2 linked regions of the Stegostoma tigrinum genome follow. The protein of the gene in region 1 interacts with the protein of each later gene in a biochemical or structural test. Links are inferred from orthologs where the notes say so. Each region holds a gene or a part of one and is shown on either strand. Other genes may lie near its edges.

Region 1 (7,106 bases):
GGGCCTAGATCCTAATTTCTGAAGAAGGGTCCAGGCCCAAAACATCAGCTTTCCTGCTCCTCTGATGCTGCTTGGCCTGCTGTGTCCATCCAGCTCTACATTTGTTATTTCAGATTCTCTAGTATCTGCAGTTCCTACTATCTCATTCAACATATAGAGATTGCTGAAGTGCTCTCAGTGTTGCACTAGACAGCGTGACCGTCCCATAAGCCATTGCTGCACAGCAATGTTCATCCAAACCACTGCCAGATGATCTTTCGGTCAAAGATATGTTACATACAAACTGTTCCATGAAGACATGTGGTACAGCAGAGTCAAATTGGATGGAACAATCTTCGGCAACATAGCCAGACGCATCCTTCACAACCTTCACTGGCACAGACAGAATTTCAATAGTATTTGGTGTTTGTGTTCCGATGGCCTACGAACAGATAAGTGTATCAACACATAAAGGTGACCATCAGGAAGAAGTGGCATTGAGTAAGTTTATCCTCCTTGAGAGATTTGCATAAAATGTCCATGTGAACATTGTGCATTCTCATTCTCTAGATAAATATGATGATAGATCTGACTATGTTGCCACAGAATGCTTCATTCAGTTGGACCATGCTGTGTGCTACCTGTCAATCATGTAAATTTTAAGCAATATAACATCTCTGGTCACAGATCCACCCATGTATTGGTGTACACATAACATCTTTGAAGAACTAGTTGAAAGTGCAAAGTGATTCATTTTGGAAAGTTGAATCTGTATGCAGAATACAGGGTTAATGACAGGATTCTTGGCAGTGTGGAGGAACAGAGGGATCTTGGGGTCCACGACCATAGATCCCTCAAAGTTGGTACCCAAGATGACAGGGTTGTTAAGAAAGCATATGGGTGTGTTGGCTTTCATTAGCAGGGGAGTTGAGTTTGACAGCCATGAGGTTATGCTTCAATGGTTGTTCTATGAAAGCCCGGTTAGACTACAGTTGGGATTTTGTTTTCAGTTCTGGTTCCCTCATTATAGGAAGGATGTGGAAGCTTTAGAGAGGGTGCAGAGGAGATTTATCAGGATGCTACCTAGACTGGAGGGCAGGTCTTATAAGAAAAGGTTGAGAGAGCTAGGACTTTTCTCACTGGAGCGAAAGAAGAATGAGAAGTGACTTGATAGAGGAGTACAGGATGATGACAGGCATTGATAGAGCGAATAGCCAGAGACTTTTTCCCAGGGCGGAAATGACTATTACAAGGGAGCATAGTTTTAAGGTGATTGGAGGAAGGTTGTGATGCGAGGGAATCATCCTATCAATTTCTTCATACACAAAATGTCTCTGCCACTGTATCCTGGCCTCAGGGCATCTGCAGTAGGAGGAAACCAGTGCTCATGTGCTTCTGAAATATGCCTTTGTAAAGAACGTTTAGTTTTTGTCAAGCAGCTCTGCAACACATGCTATACATTCCAGAAGGATGTCTGGCATAAAACAGGAATTATAACTTAGAATTCTAACTATAGTTTGGCTTCTTAAATACACTATAGAAGAATGTCAACTCTATTGCACTTCATTCAATGACAAATTTGAATTACTCCATGATAAAATGTGCAAACTTTATACATTTTTTTGTGAAACTGCAAAATAAAACTGTTGTTAAATGAAAGAAATCTAAGGAGCAATTCCTAATTCTGGATAGTTTAATAAGATTGTTAGAACAAGGTGCAGCCAACTCAAAACACAGGACACTAAGCTGGTTTCCACTCATTAATCCTGCTCACTGAAGATAAATGCCACATCCACATATGCAGAAATACACTACATGCTGAGGGGAGCAGGCACATGGGACGAATGCACCCAAAGGAGTTCTGCCAGTGTAAATGCTGCCAATATCTGTAATCTCCAATTCTTTCAGTCATTTCTCTAATCCAACCTCAGGCCTCTACAGCAGTACTGGCCAAACGACTGGCAGTGTTCTTGGTGGGCCATCCTCCTAAATCTGCTGTCATACTTTCCACCACTTCTGTGAGGAAGTTATGCACTTCTTTGAGGCTGGATGGATGTGACCAGATATTCTATTGCTCCCTATTTTCACAACAGCAACATTCCAAAATTGAATATTCACATTCAAAGAGATGGCTAGGGGTGATCTTCTGGAATTTAACACTGTGTCCAGAAATAACACACAAGCCATTGATGATGTGGGTGAAGTTTAATGAGAATCCCTAATAGTAGAGATTCACGTACAAGCATATAAGAATAGTAGACCATATGGCATAATGATCGTTTTCCACAATTCAAATCAACACTTGCTAATCTTGGGTTTCAAAGTCCACTTTCTCACCTGCTCCCCATATCTTTCGACTTCCTCAAAACCAAAAAAAGGTTTATGCTGGATGCAAATGTATTCAAAATGAAGGCTCTTCAACATACCGGGTCACAGACTTCCAAATGCTGACCCTACCGTTTGAATGAAGTGATTTATCTTCACCTTACTCTATAAATGATCAGTTTCTGGTCCTGAGACTGTACCTTTGAGGGGAAGGGGACAAAATGTGCAGATCCAAGGAATGGGCCAGAGCCGGCACTCAGATGACGGGCCGAATGGACACCGACGCTGTAAAATTCTGGGTTTCGGGGGCGGGGGGAAAGACAGGTCGTGGTAGTAAAAGAGAGAGAGAGAGAGAGAAAAAGGATCGACCTGCGTCCGTATGTCGCCAGGACATACCTGTCCCAGTCACCCACCTAGTTTCAGGACGGAGGCCAACAGGATCCACAGCGCCACAACGAACGGGGACCTGACATGACCGAAGTCGACGGTCACCACCGGGAAGGCCTTGCTGCTCTTGTTACTGTGATGAGTTCTCGAGCTTTCGGACTCATTCGCCTCAGTTTCCGGGGCCGAAGCCGGTGTTCCTGAACACAGGTTCAACAGAACCAAGGAGACGAGCAGCAGCCACACAAGGGAAAGCCGGGTACACATCTGCACCCAGATGGGAGCCGCCATAAGCAGCATCCCAACTGTGACTAACGCTAGGGAGCAGAACCGACAACTGAATCCAGCAGCAGTCCGCCAACTGCCAGCTGCAGCGCCACCTACAGCCCCGGAGGACTGAACAATCCGACCACAGCGAAGGAACCAGCGAGCACTTTGTTGTCGGGTTGGAGCAATCCTTCCCAATTTTTTGTTTCCCTCCGCCCCCCCCAACTATAACCATATTTCAGTGCTTGAAAACTGTTGCGGCGACTCAGTGAAAGCAATGGCTGTTCTAACTCAGTCATGGAGCCGTTAACAGATTTTGCCTCAGATTTTGTGACCCAGCCCGATCTCACCTACTAAAATTCAAACAGAAGCCCTGCAAGTTACAGCACTTGAGGTCTATATCCATAAACTTTCAAAATCCGTTGAACATTCTTGCCTCGATGACCCTTTCAGGCATTAAAAAATGCATACCGGATTCTGCCCCAAAACGTTTTCCCTCATCTCTCCCATAATGTTGCTGCAAATCACTTAAACCTACGCCCCCTAGTCACTGACCTCCCTGCTAAGGTAAACAGGCAATTTATGTCTCCTCTACCACGGTCCATCACAATTTTATACATTTCAGTCAAATCTCTGATCAGCCCCTCTGTTCCAAGGAGAAAAGCCCCAGGCTATTCAATCTTTCCAGGTAACATCCACTTACAGACCCAGAGATAATGGGAACTGCAGATGCTGGAGAATCCAAGAAAACAAAGTGTGGAGCTGGATGAACACAGCAGGCCCAGCAGCATCTCAGGAGCACAAAAGCTGACGTTTTGGGCCTAGACCCTTCATCAGAGGTCTAGGCCCAAAACGTCAGCTTTTGTGCTCCTGAGATGCTGCTTGGCCTGCTGTGTTCATCCAGCCTCACATTTCATTATCTTGGATTCTCCAGCATCTGCAGTTCCCATTGTCACTATCACCACACATCCACAATCAGTATCCTGTTCCTGCCTTATCCCCATAACCCTTGATTCCACTATCTTTAAGAGCTCTATCCATCTCTTTCTCGAAATTATCCAGAGAGTTGACCTCCACTGCCTTCTGGGGCAGAGCATTCCATATATCCACCACTCTCTGGGTGAAGAGGTTTTTCCTCAACTCTGTTCTAAATGGCCTACCCCTTATTTTTAAACTGTGTCCTCTGGTTCTGGACTCACCCATCAGCGGAAGCATGCTTCCTGCCTCCAGAGTGTCCAATCCCTTAATAATCTTATACGTCTCAATCAGATCCCCGCTCATCCTTCTAAACTCAAGTGTATACAAGCCCAGTCGCTCCAATCTTTCAACATATGATAGTCCCGCCATTCCGGGAATTGACCTCGTGAACCTACGCTGCACTCCCTCAATAGCAAGAATGTCCTTCCTCAAATTTGGAGACCAAAACTGCACACAATACTCCAGGTGCAGTCTCACCAGGACCCTGTACAGCTGCAGAAGGACCTCTTTGCTCCTATACTCAATTCCTCTTGTCATGAAGGCCAGCATGCTATTAGCTTTCTTCACTACCTGCTGTACCTGCATGCTTGCTTTCATTGACTGATGTACAAGAACACCTCGATCTCGTTGTACTTCCCCTTTACCTAACTTGACTCCATTGAGATAGTAATCTGCCTTCCTGTTCTTGCCACCAAAGTGGATAACCACACATTTATCCACATTAAACTGCATCTGCCAGGCATCCGTCCACTCATCTCGCCTGTCCAAGTCACCCTGTATTCTCATAACATCCTCCTCACATTTCACACTGCCACCCAACTTTGTGTCATCAGCAAATTTGCTAATATTACTTTTAATGCCTTCGTCTGTATCATTAGTGTATATTGTAAACAGCTGAGGTCCCAGCACCGAACCTTGTAGTACCCCACTGGTCATCGCCTGCCATTCCAAAAGGGACCCGTTTATCATTACTCTTTGCTTCCTGTCAGCCAGCCAATTTTCAATCCAACTCAGTATTTTGCCCCCAATACCATGTGCCCTAATTTTGCTCACCAATCTCCTATGCGGGACTTTATCAAAGGCTTTCTGAAAGTCCAGGTACACTACATCCACTGGTTCTCCCTTGTCCACCTTCATAGATACATCCTCAAAAAATTCCAGAAGATTAGTCAAGCACGATTTCCCCTTCGTAAATCCATGCTGACTCTGACCTATCCAGTTACTGCTATCCAAATGAGTCATAATTTCATCTTTTATAATTGACTCCAGCATCTTTCCCACCACTGACGTCAGGCTAACTGGTCTACAATTTCCTGTTTTCTCTCTCCCTCCTTTCTTGAAAAGTGGGACAACATTAGCCACCCTTCAATCTGCAGGAACTGACTCTGAATCTATAGATCATTGGAAAATGATTACCAATGCGTCCACGATTTCTAGAGCCACCTCCTTAAGTACCCTGGGATGCAGACCATCAGGTCCTGGGGACTTATCAGCCTTCAGACCTAACAGTCTATCCAACACCATTTCCTGCCGAATATAAATTCCCTTCAGTTCGTCCATTACCCTCGGTCCTTCAGCCACTATTGCATCTGGGAAATTGCTTGTGTCTTCCCTAGTGAAGACAGATCCAAAGCACCTATTCAACTCTTCTGCCATTTCCTTGTTCCCCATAATAAATTCACCCGTCTGTCTTCCAGGGCCCAATTTTAGTCTTAACCTTTTTTTTTCTTTTCACATACCTAAAAAAACTTTTACTATCCTCCTTTATATTTTCAGCCAGTTTTCCTTCATAGCTCATTTTTTCTCTGTGTATTGCCTTTTTAGTTATCCGCTGTTGCTCTTTAAAAGCTTCCCAGTCCTCCGGCTTCCCACTCATCTTTGCTATGTTATACTTCTTCTCTTTTATCTTTATACAGTCCTTAACTTCCCTCATCAGCCACGGCTGCCCCTGCCTCCCCTTAGGATCTTTCTTCCTCTTTGGTATGAACTGATCCTGTACCTTCTGCATTATATCCAGAAATACCTGCCATTGTTGTTCCACTGCCATCCCTGCCAGGGTATTGTATCATTGAACTTTGGCCAGATCCTCCCTCATAGCTCCATAGTTCCCTTTATTCAACTGCAATACTGACACTTCCGATTCTCCCTTCTCCCTCTCAAACTGCAGATTAAAACTTATCATATTATGGTCACTACCTCCTAATGGCTCCTTTACTTTGAGGTCCCTGATCAAATCCGGTTCGTTACACAACACCAGATCCAGAATTGCCTCCTCCCTGGTAGGCTCCAGTACAAGCTGTTCTAAAAATCCATCTCGGAGGCACTCTACAAACTCCCTTTCTTGGGGGTCCAGTACCATCCTGATTCTCCCAGTCTACCCACATGTTGAAATCTCCCATAATAACTGTAGTGATACCTTTGTGACAGGCCAATTTCAGCTCCTGATTCAACTTGCACCCTACATCCTGACTACTGTTTAGGGGCCTGTAGATAACTCCCCTTACGGTCTTTCAACCCTGAGAATTTCTCAGCTCTATCCATACTGACTCTACATCTCCTGACTCTATGTACCCCCTTGCAAGGGACTGAATATTATTCCTCACCAACAGGGCCACCTTGACACTGAGCCAATTTAGTTACATTCCCTTGGACTTCAAGCGTTTTATTAAAAAACAGTCTGCCACGTACTATCTTGTTGAAAGCCTTACTAAAATCAACTGCACTACCCTGATCAATTCTACATATCACACTCTCAAAACATTCAGTAAAGTAAATCAAACACAATCTTCCCTTAACAAATATATGCTGATCATCCTTCATCAATCCACACTTTTCAAAGTCGCAGCTTACCATAGAATCCCTAGTGTTGAAGCAGGCCATTCAACCCATCAAGTCCACACCAACCCTCCAAAGAACATGCCAACCAGACCCAACCCCTTACCCTATCCCTGTAGCTCTACATTTCCCATGGCTAATCCATGGATATTATGGCCAATTTAACATGGCCAATCCACCCAACCTGTACATATTTGGACTGTGGAGGGAAACCAGAGCACCCGGAGGAAACTCATACAGACACGCGAAGAATGTGTAAACTCCACAGAGACAGTTGCCTGAGGGTAGAATCAAACCTGGCACTGTCAGGCAGCAGTGCTAACCACTGAGCCATCGTG
Region 2 (6,892 bases), on another chromosome or scaffold:
TTACTGGTGTACAAATAAGTGCCATATCAGTGCCTTACATTGCAGTTTTTCATTTTTGTAGTATTCTAAGTCCTCTTTTGTGTGATTGTCATCCATATGTTGGAAAAACGATAAAGTAGTCAGGAAGTTTTCAAACGTGATTTCATCAACCGTTCCACTCGTTTGTTGTCCCAAGTTTCTAGGGAAAAACACATGGATGTTAGGAGATTGCTTTACACTTTCTCACTCTCAGCACCTATTTCCACATCAAGCACAGCCTAGATTTCCCCCTTCTATCAATATACTTCAGTTCCAACCTTGAAAAATACTTTCTGGCTTATGCTGTACTATAGCTACTTTGTAATCAGCCATTCGAGCAGTCTCTCTGAGATTTCAAGTTTTATACTCTTCTTCCACACTTGTTCAGAAGCAGCTAAAATTGCTCAAATGTATCTCATGGGGAGTGGAGAATTCCATTCCAACAGCATGAACTGGTTTTGTGATCAAACTGCATGATTGTAAGCAAAGTAGGTTCACTCAGTATAAGCAAGATTTTTTAAAAAATCATATGATCAATAATATGATGGTTCTAAGTAGATCAATTTAGAAAGGCTGAATTGAAGACTTACCTCCTATCAAAAAATGCATTGACAATTCTTGCCTTAATGGGATTACAGTCCAGATCTGGTATGTTATCAAAACAATCTTTGCTGCAAAATAAAGTAGGTAAGTATTTTATACAGACATGGGGAAAATTGCTCTAAATGTTGTTAAACATACATAGTAACTAGAATACTAATACCACATTGTAGCCTTCCCATCCGTTAGGTGCAAGAACCTTCTGTGCAAGATTTCAATTTGCTCTGAAGTAACTGAGAGGAAGGAAATTCAAAGTGTGAGATATTTACATAGAAAGAACATCCCCTCCTAAATTGTCCATATTATTTCATTTACCATGTGAAATTTTCTGTACAGGACTCATTGTGTCCACTGGGAGCACAGAAGCAGGCTCAGCTTCCATTAAAGTTAATGTATTATTTTTAAATAGGTTAATAATTCTGATATCTCTGAATTACATGAATGTGGCGGGCACTATCAAAAGTAAACAAGGTGACTCCCTGATTCCTGGAGCCTTTAAGAAAATACAGCTGACTAAGTTGGCTAACAAAAGCTGCTATCAGACTGCAACTTAATGTTAGTTACTCCCACACATTTCACTTTGAGTTCTGAAGGTAGGTGAAGGTAACAAATTATACATTCCAATGTTGTTCATTACAAGGAGGATTTTGAAAATGTTTATTTAAGTGGTGGTTGTTTGTTGGGACCCTGTGCTTTGGATTTAACTGAAAGGTGAGATTAGATACTGTAGAGAACATTGATGTTCTATCTTTTTGAATAAATGATCTAACCTAAAAGAGACGAGATACTATACTTTGGCATTTTTCTTAGAAAATGTAATCTCATTTACTCCCTTAAAAATTGCATGTGCAAACATGAGTCAGCAAAAGTAAAACTCCTGTTTCACAAGCTGCTTATTTATGGAGTGTGAAAGCAGGAGGAACTTATACAGTAACTTTGTCATTTTGGTAAAACATGTAATATTGAGGGACAGAAAAAGAAACCTCACTAATCACTTCTGGGTTTCACTCACTTAAATGACACAATAACCTTGATGTAGGCACTGCTAGTGTTCTTGCTGCCCTTCGTAGCAGAGATACATGTTCTGCCTGACTTGTTCTGGGTTAGCTAAGGCTGTCTCAGAGGCTTACTTGGAGTGATTAGGCTTAGAACGAAGTCAACCAGCCCACTGAATCCATGCCCCATTGTGCAGGGCAGTCAAATCAGTCTATTACCTTGCTCTATTCCCTCTTGCCCTGCAAGTTTATTTCCCTCAAGCACTCTTGCAATGTCCTCTTGAAATTATTGACCTCTACGCTTGTTGAAACACGAAGAAACAGAACAGTAGAAGCATTACTGAAGGTAATGCTACGGGTAATGAATCAAGTGCAGCAAATACAGGGCTACGGTCCAGTTCGTGTGAACACATCCTCGTTACGATATAGAGATGGAGGGTGGAAGCAGCTCAGGATCAGGATCTTTACAGGCTGGGGTTTGATCTGCCTAGTGACTGAACCGTACAGTTCAGGAGGGATTCAGGGTCGATCCCTGGTTTGTCTGCTCAATCCCGGCTAGTCGCCCAGGCAGGGTCGCTGAGAGAGCGGACTCAGGTCCCCCTCAGCTCGGCAGGGGCAATCCTACTCTGTTTGTCACACTCGCACTGAGCGTGAAGACGTGAGCAGCAGGACAGGTCATTGTGAAGCACCCCACAGTCGGTTAGCCGCTCACTTGCGTGTGAGTAACGGCCAGATTTGAGTGACCAAACAGCCCCCTCAGAGTCCGGAGAAAAGGAGGCAGAAAGAATGGGGTGGGAGTAAAAACACTATGAAAAGACATTTGGCTACAACACATTCATTGACAGCTTTTGAGCTTCAGAAAGTGCGATGAAAATCTCGCAGTTTTTGAAAAAAATGTTTATAATGTCCTTTCCGTATGAGGAAATGCGTTTCCAACCAGCCTTTTGTTGCGTGATCTTCGCGAGCCTCCTGGATTATTCGACATTTTCACTTTTAAATTGAGTTCAGCTCTTAAACAACCCAAGTGTAAGCGAGCGCCTGGAACTGTACTCACAGCCGGTCGTGTTCGCAAGGTTGCGAATCTCCCAGGCAGGCAGTGAAGGAGTAGACCCCATCACCTCTTCTTCGCCTTCAGCAGGTCACACCTTTCAAAACTCACAAAGTTCTAGGGAGCAAACTGACCAGGACACAGGCGCTTTGCGTCTCCTGGAATCGGGTGAAGCTCTGATCGACAGACACAACCAATTGGTAGCTTCGGTTAGTGATGTTCTGTAGAATGTAACTGCAATCACTGGGGATAATGAAATGTCCTTTTCGACACTTCCCTGTCGTGCCAGCGAGGGATTCCTCTGGGTCCTACCGCTCAAGATATGTTTGAATGATCCCTCGCTTCTTCCTGTTTTGACTAAGTTTCAATATTGTATTTCATGACAAAGATTTCGCAATAAGGTACACGGAAGGGAAGAGATGATGTACTGTTTCTTTCTTTAAATAATTGTGTTTCAAGACAGAGATTTCTTTTTAATCTTTAAATTACCTATATAGAACATCTTCTTGCCTTATCGAGCCAAAGATAACATCACAAACTCCAATAGGTTGAGAGCAAGGAGAGAGGTGCAGCTGAAAGAGGCAACAAACGTCATCTGAAACCCATTGGCGCCAATCTGATCCAGACCAACCATCCAACTAACTGAGCTAACTGGTCCCCGTGAAGGAGTTTGATTTGCTGAGTGTCTTACACTTTTACATGCATTTGAACTATGGATAGTGATGTTGGAGGCTCCAATTTATTTCCATGGCATGGCTAACCAGGAATGTCTCCCACTCTTACAGTGGAAGGACTTACAGATCAATTCTCAGCTTGCTTGCTTTGGAACATAACTTCCTTGGTCATCAAGACCTGCACTGGAACTTTGAACGTGAACTTCTGGGTCAGTGGCAGAAACACTGCCCCCTGCACTAATGACCTACTCAGGGTCACACTATTAGAATGAGGAGTTTCACATTTAGGGTTGACTTGACAAGACGTTTATCACTCAAAAGGCTGTGAATCTTTGAAATTCACAAGGGTGCTATGGATGCTGAGCTTTTGAATTCCTGAAGGCAGACTTTGATGGACTTGTGGATACTAAGGGCTATAGGAATATTGTGGAAAGGTGGATTTGTATTAGAAAATTAGCCATCATCTTCTTGAACAATGACATAGGCTCAAATAACCAAAGCAGTGATAGTGTATTATTTGAAATAAATAATAGTGATAAATACCCTCAATATAAAAACAGAAATGCAATTTCTTGCATCAAATACATCTCAATAAGCCTGCAGCTTCATGTACAAATCACTCCTCCTTCAATTAACTTTTTCACCTGAAGTCTGAAACACCTTCCCAAAAGCCCACTGTGTTGTTACATTTCTCTCACTTTTCACAGACTTTCTCAAATGTACCTCTTCCCCTGTTTTCAGCCACAGTGTATAATCTTGTGCTGCTCAATGACTGCGCTTGACTGTAGTGAAATCTGTTGGGTGTAGTTTGTAACATCAAATACATTGTACCAGTGCAACTGATTGTTGTTACAGCTGCTTAGTTTGAAGGAGTAAGAGCTAGTACCTTTCGTTAATACAGAACAAAGCCTGATGCATCAGTACATATTTCCATATTTTGCACTTTGGGTTCATATGCAAAGTTCACAAGTAAATTAATACAATTCAAACATACAATTGTATCATGCATGGGAGTCAAATTACAATAGATGCTACAATCGCAATTTTCAATTTAGTAAAATGTTGCAGAGACTCAGAATCAATATGCAAAACAACGCAGGCATTCAACCTTGACCTTTTTGAATGCCATTTTAAGCAAAAATAAGGACATTTATTTACCTTAAGTCTATGAAATCAGATAGAATTCAGAAATGACCACAGGCAGTGATGATTTGTCCCTCTCCCTGTGTGTATTTACTCCCATGAATTCCTTTGCAGTGTTCTACATTTGCGAATGACCTTATACATGTGGAATGTATCATGCTGCAATATTTATAGTCAACTATAGTCAATATATAGTCAAGAACTTTTTAGTAAAAACTAAAGTTATTGCACCTTCAGCAAGAGTAAATGTACATTCAAAGGTTTCTGTTTAGAAAACAAATACATGACCAGGTGATGAGATAACAAAGTGTAGAGCTGGATGAACACAGCAGGCCAAGCAGCATCAGAAGAGCAGGAAAGCTGACTTGCTTTTCTGAAGAAGGATTTAGGCCCAAAACATCAGCTTTCCTGCTCTTCTGATGCTGCTTGGCCTGCTGTGCTCATCCAGCTCTACACCTTCTTATCTCAGATTCTCTAGCATCTGCAGTTCCTACTGTCTCATGATCAGATGATATTTCAGTTACAGGATGATACTCCATCTATTTAAAAGTTGGTCAATGTGCAACTTATCAAACAGAATTAATGTTTAGGATTACATCACTTGGCCCAGTCTCTTGCAGTTTTGTCAGCCATAAAAATTTAACATCATGTTCAACTAAAACCATGATGACTGTTGCATATGAATCTGAAAGAGTCGATTGATTGCATTAAGCACCAACAACTGCAATCACATCATGAGGACTTGCTGGGACAGTAGCTAATGATCATGAAGCATTCAGGCCTAAGACCAGGTCCTCCTAACACATCCTTGTAATAGGTAGTTGCAGAGATGCAATAAACTATTTTTGTTTTAATTCATTCACGGGATGAGGGTGTCGCTGGCTAGGCATTTATTGCCTGTACCAAATTGCCCAAAGGGCAGTTAAGAGTCATCCACTTTGCTGTGGATCTGGAGTCACATGTGGACCAGACCAGGCAAGGGCAGCAGATTTCCTTCCCCAAAGGACGTTAGTGAACCAGATGGGTATATATGTTGGATAATATGGGAATACTATATTGCATAAGGAACTCAACTAGCTGGACTAGAGAAAACTATGCTCATGAATGTTAGAGCACATGGGACCTTCAGGAACACATTCCTAAAAGGTATTGGTGGCAGTACATACAACATGGTGAGCATGGCGACAATCTGAGGATATGCTTTAGCTTCAATGTACAATATGGTGAGCAGCAGGGATCTTCTAAGTGGGACCCAGAGATTGATTTGTCTACTTTATAGCACAGTGAGCCACAATCATCAGTAATGAGCTGATGAACTCCAGAAAAGAAACTTTATATCAATATTTCAAAGAATGTTAAAAAGCCCATCAGACTTATTAAAAGACATCTTGGAACAGAAGAAATTTGCACCACCAAGGCAGAGGTATAGGCTGCGTCCCAGGGTGGTGGTCTGCACCAGTGGTTCTAAGTCAGAGTTTGATCAGTAAGTGAACTGACATCAGATTGTGTGAATCAAAACTAGAAATGCCTGGCACAAATGAAAGATCTTAAATAGCACAGTAACCTAGGCTGAACAGATGAGAATTTTTTAAAAACATTTTTTCAATAAGGCCATGAGGCATGGCTAGAAAAGAAAACAGAAATAACAGGGCCAAAACAGAAATGCATAATCTGGCATCAGAAAGTCAGGAACATCACAAAGCTAGTATTTTAAAGTATACAAGCATTGGGCAATAATAAATTGTGAACAGTTCCAGTCCAACAGAAACATCTTTCAGAAAATTCATGAAGGCCCTGAGAGAGGAAGAACCTATATTAAAGATGCAAAATCCTAAACAAAACAAAAAAAAATCCTTGAGGTTAATTGTGTTGGAATAAGAATTTGTTTCATCTTGTCAACAAGGTGAGAGCCTGTGACTATGCTGGTTTGACGGAAATGGTTTCCATTGCTATCAAAATTGTGAATATTTCAAACTCAAAGAACTTGCAAGGTTTGTGAGGATACGTAACAAAGATACAGGCAATGACCACAGCCAGTATACACCACTGAGTGTATTAATAAATCAGTAAATGAAATAATACCTCTACCCACATCATCGCAGATCTATAAGGAGATTGAGAACAAAATCTGCTGATGCTCATTGGAGGTGTGGTGCATACACTCCATGGAAGCCACCACTCAGAAGAGCTCAACAGTGCATGGCCAAGGATCCATGCTGCTGCAAAGAAAATATTGCTTGCTCTGATGACAGTGATGACATCTTCAACAAAAGAAATAAAGATTAAAGATCCTCCATTCAGAAGGAACTGCAGCCTTGGGCTATCCACTGTTTTCTACTCAGCAAATCTGTTTCCAATTTCAACGAGAACAGTTTCAAGGAAACTAGTAAAACTTATGATTGTCTGAATTTGTA

Evidence for each region. The genes of interacting proteins can lie anywhere in the genome.
Region 2: the proteins of sodium/hydrogen exchanger 1 (region 1) and tesca form a complex in vitro, tested with the Homo sapiens proteins (4 studies listed by BioGRID and IntAct, with this or other methods). The link is inferred for Stegostoma tigrinum from reciprocal best matches to the Homo sapiens genes SLC9A1 and TESC.

Annotation. Positions count from the first base shown.
Region 1 is NC_081377.1:33,124,100-33,131,205, forward strand, and holds the start of sodium/hydrogen exchanger 1, read right to left. Parts: upstream 3,021-7,106; 5' UTR 2,989-3,020; coding exon 2,718-2,988; intron 1-2,717. UniProt on the Homo sapiens protein: Electroneutral Na(+) /H(+) antiporter that extrudes Na(+) in exchange for external protons driven by the inward sodium ion chemical gradient, protecting cells from acidification that occurs from metabolism.
Region 2 is NC_081379.1:30,269,058-30,275,949, forward strand, and holds the start of tesca (tescalcin a), read right to left. Parts: upstream 3,018-6,892; 5' UTR 2,729-3,017; coding exon 2,668-2,728; intron 966-2,667; exon of another isoform or gene 962-965; coding exon of another isoform or gene 934-961; intron 852-933; coding exon 782-851; coding exon of another isoform or gene 760-781; intron 690-759; coding exon 609-689; intron 179-608; coding exon 39-178; intron 1-38. UniProt on the Homo sapiens protein: Functions as an integral cofactor in cell pH regulation by controlling plasma membrane-type Na(+)/H(+) exchange activity. Promotes the maturation, transport, cell surface stability and exchange activity of SLC9A1/NHE1 at the plasma membrane.